2 linked regions of the Oryctolagus cuniculus genome follow. The protein of the gene in region 1 purifies or fractionates together with the protein of each later gene. This does not show direct contact. Links are inferred from orthologs where the notes say so. Each region holds a gene or a part of one and is shown on either strand. Other genes may lie near its edges.

Evidence for each region. Proteins that work in one complex are often made in the same cells at the same time.
Region 2: the proteins of CDK19 (region 1) and MED13 purify together in Homo sapiens (affinity purification with mass spectrometry; 6 studies listed by BioGRID and IntAct, counting the BioPlex papers as one, with this or other methods). This does not show direct contact. The link is inferred for Oryctolagus cuniculus from reciprocal best matches to the Homo sapiens genes CDK19 and MED13.

The regions. Positions count from the first base shown.
Region 1 is NC_091436.1:60,778,533-60,788,333, reverse strand, and holds the start of CDK19 (cyclin-dependent kinase 19), read right to left. Parts: upstream 5,477-9,801; 5' UTR 5,442-5,476; coding exon 5,206-5,441; intron 5,173-5,205; exon of another isoform or gene 1-5,172.
Region 2 is NC_091448.1:35,406,435-35,416,086, forward strand, and holds the start of MED13 (mediator of RNA polymerase II transcription subunit 13), read left to right. Parts: upstream 1-3,682; 5' UTR 3,683-4,428; coding exon 4,429-4,494; intron 4,495-6,710; coding exon 6,711-6,945; intron 6,946-9,652. UniProt on the Homo sapiens protein: Component of the Mediator complex, a coactivator involved in the regulated transcription of nearly all RNA polymerase II-dependent genes.

The DNA of each region.
Region 1 (9,801 bases):
GAGAGAGAGCTCTTCCATCAGCTGGTTCACTCCCCAAACAGCCTCAACAGCCAAGGTTGGGCCAGATCGAAACCAGGAGCTTCTTCCTGGTCTCCCACGTGGGTGGCAGGAGCCCAAACATTTGGGCCATCCTCTGCTGCTTTCCCAGGCACATTAGCAGGAAGCTGGATCAGAAGTGGAGCAGCTGGTACTTGAATCAGTGCCCATGTGGGATGCTGGTATCACAGGCAGAGGCTTAACCAGCTACACCACAATGCTGGCTTTCTAAAAAAGTGTTCTGATTTAAGATCAATGAAACATGTTTGCCAATCTGGAGCATATTTTAAAATTCAATATGGTTTCTAACTGTGTATTATAATGTCTAACCCTGTACAAGACACTGAAAATATAATGCTGACCCTTTTGCAGGTAATAGTTTGTGACACGTTACTCTTACCTACAGTGCTACCTACATACAGAGAGCCAGAACTGTGACCCAACAGGTTAAGTTGCCACCTATAATGCCAGAGTGCCAGCAGATGAAAGATGTCACTTTCAAATAATTTCAATTTATTTGAAAGGCAGAGTGAGAGAGAGAGAGACAATCTTCTATTCACTGGTTCACTCTTCAGATGACCACAATATCCAGGGGTTGGCCCAGCTGAAACCAAGAGCTGGAACTCCATCTGGATCTCCCATGTGTACGACAGGGGCCCAATTACTGGGGCCATCATCTGCTGCCTTCCCAGGTGCACTGGCAGGGAGCTGGAATGGAAGCAGAGCAGCCAAGACTCAAATAGGTGCTCCAATATCAGATGTGGGTTCCCAAGCAGCAGCTTAAACACACTGCACCACAATGCCAGCCCCAAAAAAATTTTTTTAAATAGGAACACAAAACATACTAGAAAATGAAAGAACCAGGGTTAGACCTAGATTACAGGCTTCATCTTTGCTGTGAAACTCTGAGCCAAAATTAACCTCTCAGAGCTCTGGGTTTCTCCTTTTTAAGAGCAAGTTCAAATAGAAGTTCTCAGACTCTTGAAAATTCTGGGGACCAGTGCTGTGGTATAGGGGGTAAAGCCGTCACCTGCGGTGCCAGTATCTTATATGGGCGCCAGTTCGAGTCCCAGCTGCTCCACTTCTGATCTCACTCTCTGCTATGGCCTAGGAAGGCAGTGAAAGATGGTCCAGGTCCTTGGGCCCCTGTACCCGCATTGAAGACCTGGAAGAAGCACCTGGCTCTGGATCAGCGCAGCTCCAGCTGTTGCAACCAACTGGGGAGTGAACCAATGGATGGAAGACCTCTCCCTGTCTTTCTCTCTTTCTCCCTCTCTCTGCTTCTGTCTCTCTGTAACTCTGCCCTTCAAATAAACAGATGTCTAAAAAAAGAGAAGGTTCTGGCATTTGGCCTAGTGGTTAAGATACCTGCATACTACTGTGCTCCAGATCTTAGCTTCCCACCAATGCAGATGGCAGGCAGCCATATGACAAATTAAGTAACTGGGTTCCTCACACCCATGTTAGACCTGGATTGAGTTTCTGGCTCCTGGCTTTGGCCAGCCACTCTAGGCATTTCAGGAGTGAATCAGTGTATAGAAGTTCTTACTGTTTCCCTACTTCTCAGTTTAATAAAAAAAATGTAACTTTTAAAAAACTTTTTAATCATTTGGTAGTTTCCAACAAAAAGCAGATGTAAGATATTTCAAAAACTTCATGGAAAAATAGAATTAATGAAAATTTCCATGATCTTTTTGAACTACCCTTATATGATAATGTATTTTAACTATAAAGTCAAAACAGGCAAATACTGTACACCTGCATTTACTTAGCCAAATCTACTATTATAAATATACTATTTGTGAACAATTTCATGACACACACTAAGATATGTCATCATCAACTACTTATCTGACACCCTGACAAAACTGAAACTTTTAAGATGTCTCTTAGTCATTTCACTCAGTTACTAAGTATTTCTCATAAACACACTCCCAAAAAGCAGCATTCTCTTACTGAAGTGATTCAAGAGGATAAATGAATAGTTTACAAAGCTGAATAGTACTTCTGAGTACGGCAGTGTTCAGATATATTTGTACTACGCAACGCAATCATATTTGTCTCAAACTCTTATTGACAAAAGAACATTTTAACATTCCTCTAACAATCCAAATTAAGCTATTTCCAACTAAAGAAATACAGTCTAAAGATTTTTAATCATAAATTACATATTTCTTCACTAATGAAGAAATTTTTTTTTTTTTTGACAGGCAGAGTGGACAGTGAGAGAGAGAGACAGAGAGAAAGGTCTTCCTTTGCCGTTGGTTCACCCTCCAATGGCCGCCACGGCCAGTGCACTGTGGCTGGCGCACCGCGCTGATCCAATGGCAGGAGCCAGGTACTTCTCCTGGTCTCCCATGCGGGTGCAGGGGCCCAAGCACTTGGGCCATCCTCCACTGCCCTCCTGGGCCACAGCAGAGAGCTGGACTAGAAGAGGAGCAACCGGGACTAGAACCTGGCACCCATATGGGATGCCGGCGCTGCAGGTGGAGGATTAACCAAGTGAGCCATGGCGCAGGCCCCAGCAGAGGCTTTTCTAATGACTGTGTATATTAACTTTCCCAATGTATACACTAAAGACTTCAACAATTTTGGGGTTATACGTACAAGATATAAACCTGAAATTATTTTCCTATTTATTTGAAAGGCAAAGAGACAGATCTCCAACCTACTGGTCCACTCCCCAAATGCCTGCAGCAGCTGGGGCTGGGGCTGACCAAAAGCAGGAGTTTTGAACTCAATCAAGGTCCCAGACATGAGAGGGGTCCGTCTTCTCAAGCTATCACCTGCTGCCTGTAAGGGTGCACACCAGCAGCAAGCTGGAATGGAGAGTGGAACCAGACCTTCAAACCAGGCACTCTGATAGAGGGCATGGATGTCCCAAATCATATCTTTTTATTATTATTATTTTTATTTTTTTTTATTTGACAGGCAGAATTGGACAGTGAGAGAGACAGAGAGAAAGGTCTTCCTTCTACTGGTTCACCCCACAAATGGATGCTACAGCTGGCGAGCTGCGCCCATCTGAAGCCAGGAGCCAGGTGCTTCCTCCCGGTCTCCCATGCGGGTGCAGGGGCCCGAGCACCTGGGCCATCCTCCACTGCCTTCCCGGGCCACAGCAGAGAGGTGGACTGGAAGAGGAGCAGCTGGGACTAGAACCCAGCGCCCATATCGGATGCTGGTGCCCAAGTGAGCCACAGCGCCGGCCCCACAAGTCATATCTTAACCACTACGCCAAACACCCATCCCCAGAATAATTTCTCTTTAATGCACCCATGTAATCTATCTCTTGCTCCCTAAAATATCTTTAAAATTTTTTATAAACAGAGCTAATGTATTTACTATGATCATAATATAAAAATCCTTTACAATGTAAATCTGCATCAGAGTTTAGGGACTATCAGCAAAAACTTTGTATTCTGTCAAATCACTGATATGAACCTAACTGACCCCATTACCGAAGGTGTTTATCAGAAAGTTGCAAATCTAAACTAAAATTTCAGTCCAAGAAAAAAAAAGTTCATTATGATTTTTCATATATGTAAAATAGTTCTTTAATGCTTTCAGATCCTACACAACAAATATACTGAAAATGCACAAACTGACCTTACTCTAGTAATGAAAGTTTATGAATTCTAATTAATAAATTTCACTCAAGAAAGGAGTGTATTCCAATCAAGAACTTTATTAAAAGGACAAATATTCAAAAAGAACAAAGAGCAGGAATTAAATTACTTCTTCTTGCAAGCCTGTCCTGTTCAAATACAATTCAGAAGCACATTTGTTTAACTTCTCAAAAGTAGTCTGCTAAAAGAATGCTATTTTATCCAAAAAAAAAATACATTTTTAAAATTCTGAGGTATATTACAAAGTCTGCGTGAGGAGTATGGAAAAAAACGCACCTCATATTTATTTTACATCAATGTCCAATCCGGAAAACTTCGTGTGCATTCCCCAAATATATCCACAGAAGCACAAGTAAAACAGGTCGAGTGGACATTCCGAAAACAAGATACAACTTAATTACAGTACCTCAGATTCCATGATGTGCATGCAAGGATACCTGGTAATTAACTAAAAGAACTGAGAAACTGCGTACTAAAGAACCTGTTCAGTTATTAAAGAAAAAAGCTACCTGCAGTAACAATCCTGTAAACTTGGGATAAGCCTTTGAACAATTTCACGATGCTTTATGATAAAATACTTTATAAAACTGTGCTTTGTTGTTCCTCTTACGAAATTAGCACACACAATCTACCTACTTGGCTCTAGAATTCATAAACCAACCACATCAGATTACAAGAGCGTGCAGCACTTTGAGTCTTACGTCGTGTGGCTGCTCAACACTTCACTCAGAACACTCCGTTACAATTCTGAAAACTCTGTTCCGGTTACTTGGACCGTCTGTGGGGTCTAGGCAGGACAGGCAGACTTTCCGTGGCGCCCTGACACCGGGGGAGGGGAGTTCCGGGGCGAGGGGGATGGGACGAGAGGTGACGACCCGCTGCAAGCCACCGCTCGAAGGCAGGGAGCTGGTTCCACCTGTCCCGCTGTGCGAGCTCCGCTGCCCACTATCCAGCTTCCCAAGGGGTTCCCACGGGTCTCCCTCAACTCCCAGGACAACAGAGGTTCGGGCCCTGCCCCGTCACTCCGTATTCCGCTCGGAGTAACCTGCATGCTCCGAGAGCCCCAGCGCGCAGTCCACGGCCAGCGCCCGGGGTGCAGGGCGCAAGAATGCCCGAGACCCCCGGGCAGTGCTACGCGGAACTGAAAGAACTCTGAAGTTACCGCCGGCAAAACGCGGTTCCTGTCAAGGAAGCGGTGGTCCCACCTTCCAAGGAGAAGGTGTGCGATTCAGAAAGTGAGACCCCGAAACCGGAGGGGCGCGGGAGGAAGGGTCGACTGGGACCGGAGCGACAGCGCTGAGGGGCCACCGGGCTGACGGGCCCGCGAGGCAGAGGTCGCGGCTGAGAGTGGCGGCGCCCAGCCGGCCCGTCCGCCCGCCTGGCTTCCCCCGCCAGGTTTCAAACCGCCGCCCCCGAGAGGCGCTCAGCCGATTGGAAGTTCCTCAGCGACCGTCAGCAGCCCAGGGCCGGAGCGCCAACTCCGCGACGGGGGCTCTTCCAGCCCTCCGCGTCTCCCCCACGAGACAGACCCCACCAACTCCACCTCCAGCCGAGGTCCCAGCTGGAGTCCCGCCGCCGGCTCCAGGCACGCGGAGGGCGCCCACCAAACGGGACCGGCCCCCCGACGGGGCTGCGCCGCGGGAGTTCGAGGGGCGCGAAGGGGCCGCGCGGGGAGCGGTCAGAGCGGGCGTCCCTCAAGAGTCCGCCCCGGGACGCGGCCCCGCGCCCACCTCCGCCTCGCCCCTGGGGCACGGCGCGCCCGAGCTCCGACCCACCCATCCCGCGGGGTCGCGGGCAGGGCGAGGATCGGAGCGAGCTCACTCCCCCGCCCCTGCTCTTACCCATCTTTCCGCCTCGCCTTGTAGACGTGCCCGTAGGTGCCGCGTCCCACTTTGCACCCTTCGTACTCAAACAAATCCTCCACCCGCTCCCGCTCCGCCGCCAGCTTCGCCTTGAAATCATAATCCATTGTCTGCTTCCCCCATAGAGGCACCGGGACGCGGGGGCCGCCGCCGCTCAGTCCCTCCTCCTCCTCCTCCTCCTCTGCCTCCTCCCCCCGCGACCGCCGCTCCACTTCTCCAACAGCCGCCTCTCGGGCGCGCGCGCGCCGCCCGCCGCTCCGCGGTCCGCCTTCAGCAAGGGACTCCTCGGCGGCCGCGGCAGCCACCCCCTCCACCTCCTCCTCCTCCTCCTACTCCTCCTCCGCGGCGGCGGCGGCGGCGGCAGCTCCCGCAGGCACCCCCGGTCCCGCCTCCCCCCTTCATTTCCTTGTTTTGGAACCTGGTGGGCCGCGCCGCGGCTTCCTCGAGCTCATTAACGAGCCAGCCCGCCCGCCCCAAAGCTGCGAAGGCTCCTGGGAAATGTAGTTCCTCAGGCCCCAGGGGCCGTGGACGTTCGGCCCGCGCGAGAAATACAGCTCCCAGACTACCTCGGGCCTCCACAGCCTCGCCCCCGCATAGCACGCACGCGTGCGCACTGGGGCCGCCCCTCCCCCTCAGGTAGCGCTGGGCTACCAGTTCCTGTGAAGGTAGAAGGCGCAAAGTTGGAGGGTGCTTCGTGAGAGACTGTGGGCGTGGGTGTGTCGGCGGCCCTTGCTCTGCTAGGATGAGGTACTCCGGGCCAGAAGGGGCGTGGGAATTGTGTCACACGCAGGGCGCCTCGCGCAGCAGCGCGCTCCGAGGGCTCGAGAGGGAGGACTGGTCAGGACAGTTGTAACGCAGGTTGTTGTTTGTTTTCCGCGGCGAGCGGCCCGCCCCCGTCCCGTCGCTCATTGGCGGAGGCTAGAGAATGACGTCCGCCGTGGTGCGTGGTGTCCCCGGGCTCTGGCTGCTTTCCCGCTCTGGATTGGTAATTGCATAGGCTTGGTTCTTCCTGATAGGTTAATCGTTTTTCTTTACGATGCAGAAACCGTATTTCAAAACCTGTAGAGTCAGCGGTTTCCTAGTTCTTGCCTTACGATAAGGAGGACGAGTAACTTCTGAGCCCCAGCAGCCAATCAGCCTCTTCTTGGCGCTCGAGTCGGTTCCCTCCGAGCATGTGCGGCGCCCGCAGCCGAGCTTGGGCCATCTGTCTAAGGACAATTAAAGTGCCCGGAAGATGCAGCGTTTTAAAAGCAATCGTTTGGCTTGCCTTTTTAAGGCCTTTTTTTTTTTAATTTTTTTTTCGGTTGGGCACTCCTAGGAACGGATATGTGCCTTTAATCCGGCTGAAGGTTGAGTCATTATTTCATTGAAGTGTTGGGGCTCAGGCGGCGCCACCCTCCTGACTGTGCCCACCCCGAAACCTGCCTTTCTGGCATACTGATACCTCTGAACTAAGAAGAGAAATTCAGAACCGGTCAATTCAAGAAAAGCTCTTCATCTCCTCCCCCCTTTCACCCCCTCCCCCCCACACACACACCGAAAATAAAGTATAAAATTCTCCTTTTTGTAAAGAGGAATTTACGTCGATTAAGGAAATTTTGATTAGTCCAGGCTTCAGTATGAGGAAAAGAACTATTCCTGGATAACTTTTATCTGCGTAAAAAGCCAGCCATTATTCACCTTATAGTTCCTCCTCTCACCCACCCTCAGTTTGTCTCCACCACCCCACCGGATGCTCCAGAGCCCAGTCCCTTATTGTCAATCAGGAAGCTTCAATCACCTGGTCCTTCATTAAGACCTGTATCTTTGGAACTCCTGTTATTAACAATGTTATTAACATTGTTTTTCTCCTGTTAATCTGGTTTGTGTTCATTTCATTCATCCACCAGCCGAAGAAAAGCAGAGGGCAGCCATTTCCCCTAACCTACAAATGGCTGCCTACTGTCCCAAGGAATACAACCTGATCCAGCTAGTATATCCAGCTAGGATGGGACTTAAATTGCACCTTTAGAAGGAGCACCAAGGAGGGAATGGTCGATACTACCTTAAGAAATAGGGACAGTTAATAGTAAACTGCTGGGTTTTGAAAGAAGCTTGGAAAATTAGAAGGAAAGGGGAGGATTGTTTATTTACTGAGCACACTCCCCCTCGTCCTAGGAAACTTCCTTAGGTCTTGACGGTATCTTCAGGCAAGAGGAATACGACTTGCCCTTGCTGCCAGGCACTATGATGAGTGCCGGAAATACCAGAATAAAATTGGTCTTTTTCCGTTTAGGGAACTGCACTTAGTGAATAAACAAACATGCAAGCAAATTAAAAATAAACTGTGTGGGTACAAAGAGCAATGGTTGAATAGACAGAGTTCTGGGTGAGTTAGGATAGGCTTCATGACTGGGGTAGATTTAAGCGAAATTCTAAAGAATGAGAAAAAGAACCAGCATTTAACCTAGCAGAGTACACGGGTTCAGTTGCCGGGTCCCCACTCCTGGCTCCAACCTCCTGCTCTTACAGAGCCTGGAAGGGAGTATGTTCCAGGCCTTGGAGGGCACTGGGGAGTAAACCAGCAAGTTGTTCAAATGCACGCTCTCTTGCTCACTCTGTTTAACTCTGAAAAACATGGAGAGAGAGAGAATATTAGTAGGTTCTTACTTGAAGGGCGAATGGAGTAGCCAGGCAGGCCAGCATATACCCATATCATGAGAACATGATTTATTTTGAGAACTGCAACTAGATTAGATAAGGACAGATTAAGGCAAGGAAAGGGAATAGATAAGAAGAGACTAAACAGATAAGCAGAGGTCATAAAGAGCTGTGTATGTCAAGCAGAAGTTAATGCAAGACTACATTATTATTTAGGCAAAAGAAAGCCATTAAAGACTTCTGAGAAATAGACTTAAGGAGAAATAGAATCAGTCTTGAGCAAAGGTACTTCACAATTGTGGAAAATGGAATTAAGAGAGAAGTGTATGGGAATGGGCACTGTGGCTCAGCAGCTTAAGCTGCCACTTGGGACACCTGCATCCCACATTAGAGTGCCAGTTTGAGTTCCAGCTGCTCAGCTTCCAGTACAGCTACCTGCTTAATGCACCTAGGAAAGCAGCAATTAATGGCCCAAGTACTTGAGTCACTGTCACTCACATGGGCTACCCAGATGGAGTTCCTGTCTCCTGGGCTTCAGCCTAGCCCAACCCTGGCCATTGTGACCATTTGGAGAGTGAACCGGTGGATAGAAGATCTCTGTCTCTCCCTCTATTTCTCTGTCACTGTAACTTTCAAATGAAATAAATAAATCTTTTTAAAATATATGTTTATTTCAGCAGGAAATATTTTCTAAATAACATGTAAGGTTCTTCAAAAAGTTCATGGAAATTGTGTATTAGGAAAAAACTATACATAGGGGCCAGCACTGTGACACAGCCAGTTAAGCCACCTCCTGCAGTGCTGGCATCCCATATGGGCAACAGTGCGTGTCCTGGCTGCTCCACTTCCTATCCAGCTGCCTGCCAATGGCCTGGGAAAAACAGAGAAAGACGGCCCCTGCACCCATGTGGGAGACCTGGAAGGAGATTCTGGCTCCTGGCTTCAGCGCCATTTAGTGAGTGGATGGAAGATCTCTCTCTCTCTCTCTCTGCCTCTCCCTCTCTCTGTAACTCTTTCAAGTAAATAAATATTTTTAAAAAGGAAGGAAGGAAGAAAAAGCTATACATAGATTTCAAGAAAATATTTTTCACCAAAATAAATTTATATTTTAATTCAATTTTTCAGATTTTTTTTTTTTTTTTTCAATTTGAAAGAGACAGAACTTTCATGCACTGGTTCACTCGCCAAATACTCAGAACAGCTGGGACTGGACCCAAACAAAGCCTTAAGCCAGGGACTCAATTCAGGTCTGTCGTGTGCATGGCAGGGAAGGGACCCAACTACTTAAGCCATTACCTGCTGCCTTCCAGGGTCCACATTAGAAAGAAGCTGGGATTGGGAGCCAGAACCAGGTATCAAACCCAGGCTTTCTGTTTTGAAAGATCCTAACAGATTATTTTATTTATTTGAAAGACAGCGTTACAGAGAGAGGTAGAGGCAGAGAGAGAGGTCTTCCACCCACTGGTTCACTCTCCAGTTGGCCACAATAGCCGGAGCTGTGCCAATCCGAAGCCAGGAGCTTCTTCTGGATCTACCATGTGGGTGCAAGGACCCAAGGACTTGGGCCATTCTCCACTGCTTTCCCAGGCCACAGCAGAGAGCTGGATCAGAAGAGGAGCAGCTGGAACTAGAACTGG
Region 2 (9,652 bases), on another chromosome or scaffold:
TTCTGTCTATTGAATTAAGTGCAACATTAAACCATTAACATGACCTTAAGAAAATCAATGCTGCCCGAGGCTCACGACCACTCATTCTACAGCTTAACTGGTCCTTAGCTTCAGCTTTTGACTCCAAACTTGTACTATCCAACTCAGTAGCCATGAGCCACACATGGCTATTGGGTGCTTGAATGTGGGTAGTTCGAACTGAAATATGCTGTCAGTAAAATATGCATAGATTTTGAAGGTCTGGTTGAGAAAAAAAGGAATGCAAACTATCTCAATAATTTTTACACTGACTTCACGTGAAATGATATTTCTGATTTAGTGTGCTAAATAATTTAAAATATTAAATGCATCTATTTCTTTTTAATTTTTTGTTGTGGCTACCAAAATATTTCAAATAACTTATTTGGCTAATTATATGTCTACTGAACAGCTCTGCTCTTGACCTTGTGGTTGCTCTGTCTCTCCCTCTTGCTCTGTAATTCTGCCTTTCAAATAAATAAATAAATCTTTTTTTTAAAAAAAAGCACTGCACACTGTACATGAACTTTAAAAAATGTTTGTGGAAAAATGGAATGTAAAGAATTTTTGAAATCCATGCATATTCCTTGTATATGAGCATACAGAGAAAAATTTGGAAGGAAATACTTCAAATATTAAAAGATGGTTAATTGTGATGTTACGGGGTTTTGGAGTAATATACACTTGAAAATTTCATTTCTATATATTCCTCTATTCCAAGCTTTTTAAAAAAGATTTTCAATTTTATTTATTTGAAAGGCAGAGTTACAGAGAGAGAGAGAGAGAGAGGTCTTCCATCCCCTGTTTCATTCCCCAAAGGGCCACAACGGCCAGAGCTGAACCAGGCTGCAGCCAGGAGCCAGCGAGATGAGATGCCAGTGTTGCAGGTCATAGCTTAACCCACTGCACCACAACGCGGGCCCCTATTCCAAAGTCTTGACATATGTGTGCATAGTTTTAAATTATTTCCTTTTATTCATTACTTTTATATCCCTTTTAACCTCTGCCCTCACATATGCACAGCCTCTACCCTCAGCCACATTCTTTACCAGGGTGGTGCATTTGTCGCAACTGCTGAACCTACATCACCGTCACCTAAGTCTATATTCCCCTTACTCTTTGGAAGCGCATAGAATTCCGCTTTACACAATCCACGTGCTAACTCACAAGGTCTGTGTGGCCTGATACTGCTGCCTTCTGTTCAGCTCCTTCCCATGATGTCTGCATTCCGCTCACTCTTGGTGCGGGGAGCTGGTCCTCTTCTTCCACTTGGCTTCATTTTTCTCTCAGTGTCTCACATCCACTTCCTCTCTCCTCAATCCCCACCTTCTTTTCCCCTCTCCTTCTTTTCCTCCCCCTCTCCCTCCTCCTTCTCCCACCGTCCCCCTCCTCCTCCTCCTCCTCCTCCTCGTCTTCCTCCTTTCTTGTCTCCTGTCTCTCCTGCTGTTTTGGGGAGTCTGGCATGCACATGCAGGGTCAAACATCTGTAGGTTGCAGGCAGATTCCACCTGCCGCTGGAGTCCTGGAGAAGGTGCTCACCTTAGGGGGCGGGACCAAGGGAGCGCAAGACTTCTCTGGAGGATGGATGCGGTGTAGATGCTCGGTGGGGGAGGATCTTTCAGGCTGAGGAAGGCAGTCGGCAAAAAGCAGAGGACTTTCCGGGGGAGAGTCCAGCAGAGGAGCTCTTCCGCCGCTGGGTCTGCGGATTGCTGTCTCCTCGGGCTGGCAGTCACTTATGAAGGATGCTGACCTTAGTTGATTTGAGCTCCTGGATTGAATTAGTCCTGGTTGTATAATTGACTTTGATATGTGGCCTTTGGATCTGAATTGGGTTTAATGAGATTTAACTGCTTCAAAGGGCTTTATAAGAATTCATTTTATCCTTCAAATCTGATTTCAGATGCTACCTACTTTATGACGCCTTCTTGGGCTTTGATGGTCCTCCTCTCGTGCTCCCATGGTGCCCTGGCTGATACATACTGTGCTCAAGCAATTGCCCCCACTGTATTTTCTCTTTTCTGGATGAAATCTTTCCTTTATTGCCTCTCTTCAGGAATCTTGAGGGACAGGCAGGTATCTTGTTCATGTTTGTATCCCAGGCCTACCACAGACCAGGAACACGTTCAACTGAGCCAGCAGGTGCTCATAATGGCTTTTAAAGATTATATGAATGGTTAACATTAAGTAAGCACTGTGGCAAGCGCTATACCTATATTGTTTCACTCATTAGACACTTCAGAAGAAAAGAACTTTTATTATCCTCATTTTACAGCGACTGAGAGTAAGATACATTCATTTGATTTAAGGTCAACTGTAAGTGGCAGAATTTTTTGTACGTGGTTTCGGCTTCAAGCTATGGGCTCTTACCTGACCACAGAAGGAGACACGGATGGCTGAGGAACGCTTCTCCTTCCGTGGCTGAAGACGTGACTGCAAGTGTCCACCATTGATTTTACAGAGGAAATTACGATGTTCTAACTCATTGATGCTTCTAACTTCTCAATCATCTTTTCCCTCATTCTTCTTCTCAAAGTTTTATTTGAAAGGCAGAGTGACACAGAGACAGAGCTCTTCCATCTGCCACTTGCGCAGTGTGGACCCCCGTACTTTACATCACAGCTGCCTCCCAGGGTGCACATTAGCAGGAAGCTGGAATCGGAAGTGGGGACTCGATATAAGCACCCAGATGTAGGATGTAGCGGGCTTAATCCTGAGCCAAACAGGGGAGCCCCTTTTCCTTCTTCCTTTGGTGTAACCCTCTCAAGGAAAATGTTTTGAACGCTTCCTTTGAGGTGTAATCCAGCCAAAAACTAAGTGTTTTATAGGGAAGGGAGCTAACATTTTCTCTGGTTCTTGTAGCCACTCATGCATTTGTGAATTTACATATACCAAGCAAGCACCTACTGTGTGCTAGGAACTTCTTTCGGCGCTTGACAGCGGTAAGCAAACCGAGTGGAGGTTCTGGGGCGGAGGGGGGGTGGGGTGGGGGACGCGCAGGTGCCTGGCTCCCTGGCTCCTCGCGGCAACCGCCCCAGGTCACAGATAACTCTTAGCCCGCGGGTCTGCGCCCGGGGCGGGGCTGGGTGCTTCATTTGTGCTAACTCGGCACACCAAGCCTCTGTGCCAAGGGGCAGTCTCTCCCCCTTTTACGGATGAGGAGACCGAGACACAGAGGCTAAGGGACTCCCGCGGCTTCGAGCGCAGGCTCTCCCGCACACGGCTGCATTGTTTCGTTTATGTCTCTCTCTTCCTATCACAATTTTTAGCCGCTGAATCCTTGTCCCCTGACTCCCAAGTCCGGGGGTTTGCGCTGTGCCCGGGCAGCCTCGTGGAATAAATGAGAATGCCTTGGAATTTTGGGCAACTCTTCCTCTTCCAAAGAATTCAAACTGATTTCCACGTCATTCTGAGAGACTTGTGAAGAGTTCCCCCGCCAGGGCAAAGAGAGTGCGTGGGCCCCGGGTCACCTTACACGGCCAGGGCACCCAGCAGATGGCGCTATTTCAGTAGCCACCCGCCGGCTGCCCAGTCCCCTGGGCTCACCGCCTCAGCCGAAAGCTTCCCGGCCCTCCCTCACTCCCTTCTCTCTCCCCCTCCCCACGGAGCCCGGCCCACGTGACCTCCAGGCGGCCAATGGGCGAGCAGAGAGGGCGAGCTGGTCCCTGTGGCCGCCATTAAAGCGAAGGGAAAACCCGTGAATTCGGATTAAAGGGGGAAAAACACCGCCCGCTGGGCCCACAAAATGGGGGAGACTAAGGCGTCCAGGCGGTGAGGCCGCAGGAGAGCAGACGTTAGGCCGGCGGGGCCCAGGGACGACACGAAGACACAGCCAGAGAATGGTCTGAGCCCGGAGACACCGCCACCACCTCCGCCACTGAGGAGACTCTGGGCTTTAAGGACATCGCCGCTGCCGGGCCGGGGGCCTGGGCTCCTCTCCCGGTTCTCGCCCTTCCCGCCCCTCTCGGGGCTCCTCCGCGCCCGGGAGAACCCTCCGGAGCTTGGGCTCTGCGGTCTCGGACTCGATTTTGATTATTTATTGTGTAATTTATTGTTTTTCTTGTGGAAGGAGCACACATCGCCTCTGTCCCCCCGGAGAGGGACGAGCGTCCGCGGGCTCCGCAGTCCGGCCCGCCGGGCGAGCGCGGCGCGGCCCTCCCGCCTCCGGCCCTCGGCCCCGGGCGGCTGGGTGCCGGCCGGGCGGCGGGGGCTGCTCGCGGCGGCGGCGGCGGCGGCGGCGGCGGCAGGGGGGGTGGGTGGGGAGGGCGGGCGGCCCGGCGGCCTCCTCTTCCACCGCCCCCCCAACCACCACCCCCCCGCCCTCCCCGGTGTCTGTGTTTCTCTCTCTGGTCGGAGGCGGCGGTAATGGCGGATGGTGGGTTGTGGCGCCGGCGGCGGCTGCTGTGAGGGACGATGAGTTCCTCCTCCGTGCAGAACGGGGCCAGCCTGGAAGATTGTCACTGTAACCTCTTCTGCCTGGTGAGTGCCGGGGCCGCGGGCGGCGGGGGGAGGGGGCCGGGGGGCGCCCTTGGGCCATGGGGGAGGGGGCCGGGTCGGATCCCGATGCCCGAGTGCCCGGGCTAGGCCCAGCCGGAGCCGGTGCCCTGCGGAGCTCCGCAGCCGGCGCCGGGGACGGCGTCCGCTCCCCGGCTGTCCCGGGCTCCGTCCTGGGAGTGTGGGCTCTTCTCCCTTGTCCTGTTTCGGACTCCGTGTCTCTCTCTCTTTTTCCACGGAAGTCTTGTCTTCAACTTGGGCACCTTATCTGGTCGGACGCGAACATTTCCCTCTGTGTTTCTTGCTTAACTGTTGCTTTTCTCCCTGGTGACTCTGTGTCCCTTTTTCAGACTTTCCGTGAGTGCTCCTGCTTCCCCTGCCTTTCGGCCTTCCCCGGGTCATTTGGTTTCCCCTGGTATACGGGACCCTAGACCCGGAGCAGGGAAAGGCTCTTTTCTTCGTTTTTCATTTCGTTTGCCTGAGTCAGACTAACTCAGGGTTACTTTTCTTCCTTGGCTGACTTCAGATCTTTGTGTCAAAAACTAGTAGATGCTGTTTCATATGTCTTCTTTCTAAACTTTGAAAACAGTTTGCCATTTTGACAATTTCTAGCCATCTTGCTTTTATTAGAACATTATGTTTTTCTTGAGAGTGGAAGGTCTGATGGAGGAGGTGCTGTGGTTTTTGCACTAAATGCTTCTATATTTGTCTGCTTTGCTTGCTGTTTAAGACGGTTTGGAACAGCCTGCTCCTTGTTTTATTAAAAAGTCTGGGCAATCTGGGTGTCGAGATGACAGTTGTGTCGATTGGCCCAGGTCTGCTAACACCCAGCGGTGAAGACTTAGAAAAGTACCAACTGCTGGACGTAATAATAGCGTCCTGAGTTGGACAGTAGCTGAGCTCCATCAGTGACTCGAAGTTTGGGTGACTTTCCTTTCTCATTTTCCCCTGTAGTATGTGAAATAATAAGAATATATGATAGGGGGTCGGGTCCGTGGCGTAGTGGGTAAAGCCACCGCCTGCTGTGCCGGCATCCCATATGGGCCCTGTTGGAGTCCCGGCTGCTGCACTTCTGATCCAGCTCTCTGCTGTGGCCTGGGAAGGCAGCGGAAGATGGCCCAAGTCCTTGGACCCCTGCACCCACGTGGGAGACCCGGAAGAGGCTCCTGGCTCCTGGCTTGGGATCAGCCTAGCTCTGGCCATTGCGGCCATCTGGGAAGTGAACCAGAGGATGGAAGACCTCTCTCTGCCTCTGCCTCTGCCTCTGCCTTTGCCTTTCTGTAGCTCTGCCTTTCAAACAAATAAATAAATCTTAAAAAAAAAAAGGGTATATGATAGGTAAGTGATTTTAAGTGGGCGGAGCACAAGTAGCTGGCAAGTGTTAACTGCCAGCCAGTCATGTTTCAGCAGTTTCATTTTTTGGCACCTCATGCTTTGCATCTTTAAAGAAGTATTGAATTTCTTTTGTCACATTTTTTTTTTCATGATGTTCAGTTGAGGTCTTTAATGCACTTCCCCCTTCTAAAATATGTTGATCAGCATCTCTTCAGATACAGTAAGGCAAACATCGGGTTTTACATTTCTGTCCTCTCCCAACTCAGTCTGTTTTTGGAACTTTTAGGATCAGATTCTTTGAAGATAGCCTGGCACAAGCCTGACAGTTCTTTGTGATAATTATTTGACTTTTCCAGAGGGGTGTGTGTGAAGAGTTAACATGAATTTTTTTTTTCTTCCAAGAATTGTTCAGGTGTCTTTTTTCACTAGAGTCATGATTACAATAAATATGTAGTGATGGGTCTTAAGAATTAATTTTCAGCTAAAAGCTTGATATCAAGGATCAAATGTCACCAGTTAGAATATAACTTACGACAGAAGAAATATATACTCAGTGTGCAATATTAAAGTACAGTTTATATTTAGCATCATTAAGTTCTTTTATTTCTTCTTGGGACACATTCATTAAGTTACTATGCAGCGACATCTTGGTGTCAATTTTTTAAGTTTTTTTTCCCTTAGATTCTTGGTTGTTTTACTATCAGAATTAAAAAGTTTTTTTTTTTTTTTTTAAATCTTAACCTGCTTTCAGTATGTTAGGTGTACATTGAAAAATTCTAGTGTCTTAATGAAATAAGGTACTTCATAATGAATGCTTGAGACTTTCAGTGAATACACAATAATAAATCATGCTTTCTTTCCTCCAGGCTGACTTGACAGGAATTAAATGGAAACGATACGTTTGGCAAGGCCCAACTTCTGCCCCTATTCTGTTTCCGGTGACAGAAGAAGACCCCATTTTGAGCAGTTTTAGCCGCTGCCTTAAGGCAGATGTACTTGGTGTTTGGCGGCGAGATCAAAGACCTGGAAGAAGAGAACTGTGGATTTTTTGGTGGGGTGAAGATCCCAATTTTGCTGACCTTATTCACCATGATTTATCAGGTGAAAGCAACTTACTTCTTACTGGTGATACAACAGTGTTGCATAGCTTTTCCAAAATACCATTTGTATTACAAATTAAGGTGTGTGTGTTTATGTGTGTGTATGTGTGTGTGACACTGTTAGGTATGAAACCAGATGAAAGATCATCATGTTTTATTTAACTGTGATTATTTTATTTACATAAATCATCAATATGTGTTATGATGGGTTTTTTACACTGAGGATAACTGTCCTTCTGTCACCCAGCTTCCTTCTTAATTTCTCACAGGTGGTTAGATCCCAAGGAATACATTAACCTCAGAAAATTGGAATTGGGGAGCATAAAGTTCATACCAGAGCCATACTAATACTTTGGAAGCAAAGTGTAACTCAGCCTTTGAGTCAGTTCTGTCACTGATCTTTTTTTGCCTGAATGTACAGATGACTGTAGGAGTATCTAGAAATGTAACTTTTTGTTGTGTTTCTTTAGAGGCTTAGAGTTATTTTGTTATTGCTGTGTGTGATTATTACTTTATTAACACTTGAAGGCATGTGTTCATTTTGTTATTTTTTAAAGTGAGTCTTAGATACTGTTCCATTAAAGACTATTAATGTGAGACAAGTGCCAACTTGTTTTAATTTTTATAGGACATAGGATCATAATCGAAAAAGTTACACAGAAATACCTTTATTGTGAGCAAATAAATATTACTTTCTTTGTTTTAGGACTAAAAGCTACTTTAGAGACAGAGGATAGCTAGCTCTTCATGTGATTACTGAAGCTTGGATTTACTGTGAGAGTCAGTGTTAACTGAATTTTTGATGATAGAAATGCATATGATTAGTTGTGTTGTGCTGCAAAGTGCCAAAGACTTCAAATTAGTATGATAATGATCCTTGAAGTATAAATTTCTGATTTTTTTAAAAAAGAGTTCTTATTTTACCCTAAAGTTTCTGTTAATATTCACTAAATAGAGCCATCTGAAATAGGGTCTGTTTTATTTTTGAAGGAAATATGATCTAGATACACGTATAGTACGTGAGACCAGTATTTATGTAGGAATTCATGTCTTATATTTAATAATTGCTTTTACTTTCTAGTGCATATACTACACCCTCTGCTGTGTTAATTACATTTGAGAGTGGTTGCAATTCTTCTTGATAAAGCTTGCCACTTTTCCCAACATGCCTGCTTAGAGAATCTAGTCTTTAGTTCTAAATACGTAGTAAAGTTCTAAATTTGTGAATTGTGTTTATATTTCTGTGTGTATATATAACGTATGCACATATGTCAGGATGTAAAAATGCCTGAGTGGTTTGAGTAAGGTGATGCTTCTAATTGTTACACCAAAAGCTAAACATGTCAACTTGGTTTTTCTTTCATTGGTTTGGGTATAGCTAAGTAACTTTAATCTTTGTATGATCATAAGAAAACCACCTTACTGAAATGTTTGGGGACTTACATTGTTGATAAGACTCTAAAATTACATAATTTTAATGTATATAACATGTAGTTATATAACAATGTTGTGGATAAAACTAGATAAACTGTACTTTTTGATAAAACATTGTTGATAAACTGCAATACTGTCCTTGGCAGTTTCGATTGTCTTAAAGTTTACAGAGAATCTTAGCAGTTTTCCCCCCCTTAAGATTCCATGAAATAACATTTTGAAGAATGAAAGATCATTTTAACAGATTTATAGTATTTAGTTTTACCATATTATGACTAATATTTTGAAAGGGAAGAGCCTATTAGAGTTAGAGGAAAGCTGTTTTGATGTATATTGTTAAAACACTATAGTATGTGGGTATGACATTTCATTTAGGTTTCATGTTATCAGTCAGTTCTGTTTTCTCTACTGAAACTGGGTTACAGTTTTAAGAATTTCTTCTCTAGTTACCTTTGATTTTTAGCATAATTTTCAAAAGTATTAGCACCTGTACTTTAAAGTAGCTATTAATCTTGACTGTGATTGAAGTAATTTGGGGAGATTAGGTTTTAATTGTTGTCAGATTTTGCTTAATGCTATTGAATGGAAAATCATTTTTTAAAATTTATTGAAGTGGAAGTGACTGAACTAGTAAACCAAAGTACAATTAGAAATAGTATGAGGTCATATTCCAAAGCCTGTCGTATGTTGTTATAGTTTGCATAATGCATAGTCAGTGATATTTATATAATGTTTTAGCTTTTTTCTTTAAGAAAACCTGTTATTTACTTTAGTGTGTTATTACTTAAATCAGACATATCTCAAAGAATAATAAGGTCTTTTCAGATGGACGATATTTGTCTTGCCCTTTCCTTTGCTCCAGGGACACCGTCTGCCTCCCTTTTGGGGTAATTAGTCTGCCTCTGTCTCTCTAGCTAACCTTTTTCATTTCTTCCCATCTGTGGCACTCTATTCCCTTCTTTTAATCTCCCCTGAGGAGAGAGCAGCTGGACAGTAGGGGTGGCATCAGCTGCAGGAGGCAGTCCTGAGTTCCAAGTGGAGGTGTAGCACTGGAGGAAAGGGGAACCGGAAGGACCCAGGTGGTAACTGAAAAGCTGGTTAATTTAGCCGGAGTCTGCTCTTCACAGGCAGTGTTCTTCTGTTTGGTTTGGTACCTACCACATCTTGTTACTGAAATGTGTGTGATTATGGTGATAATATTGCCCTAATTTTTCTGGTGAGTGAAGAGGAAAAGTATTCCTTTTTGCAAAGATTGGAATGTTGTTATTTAACTC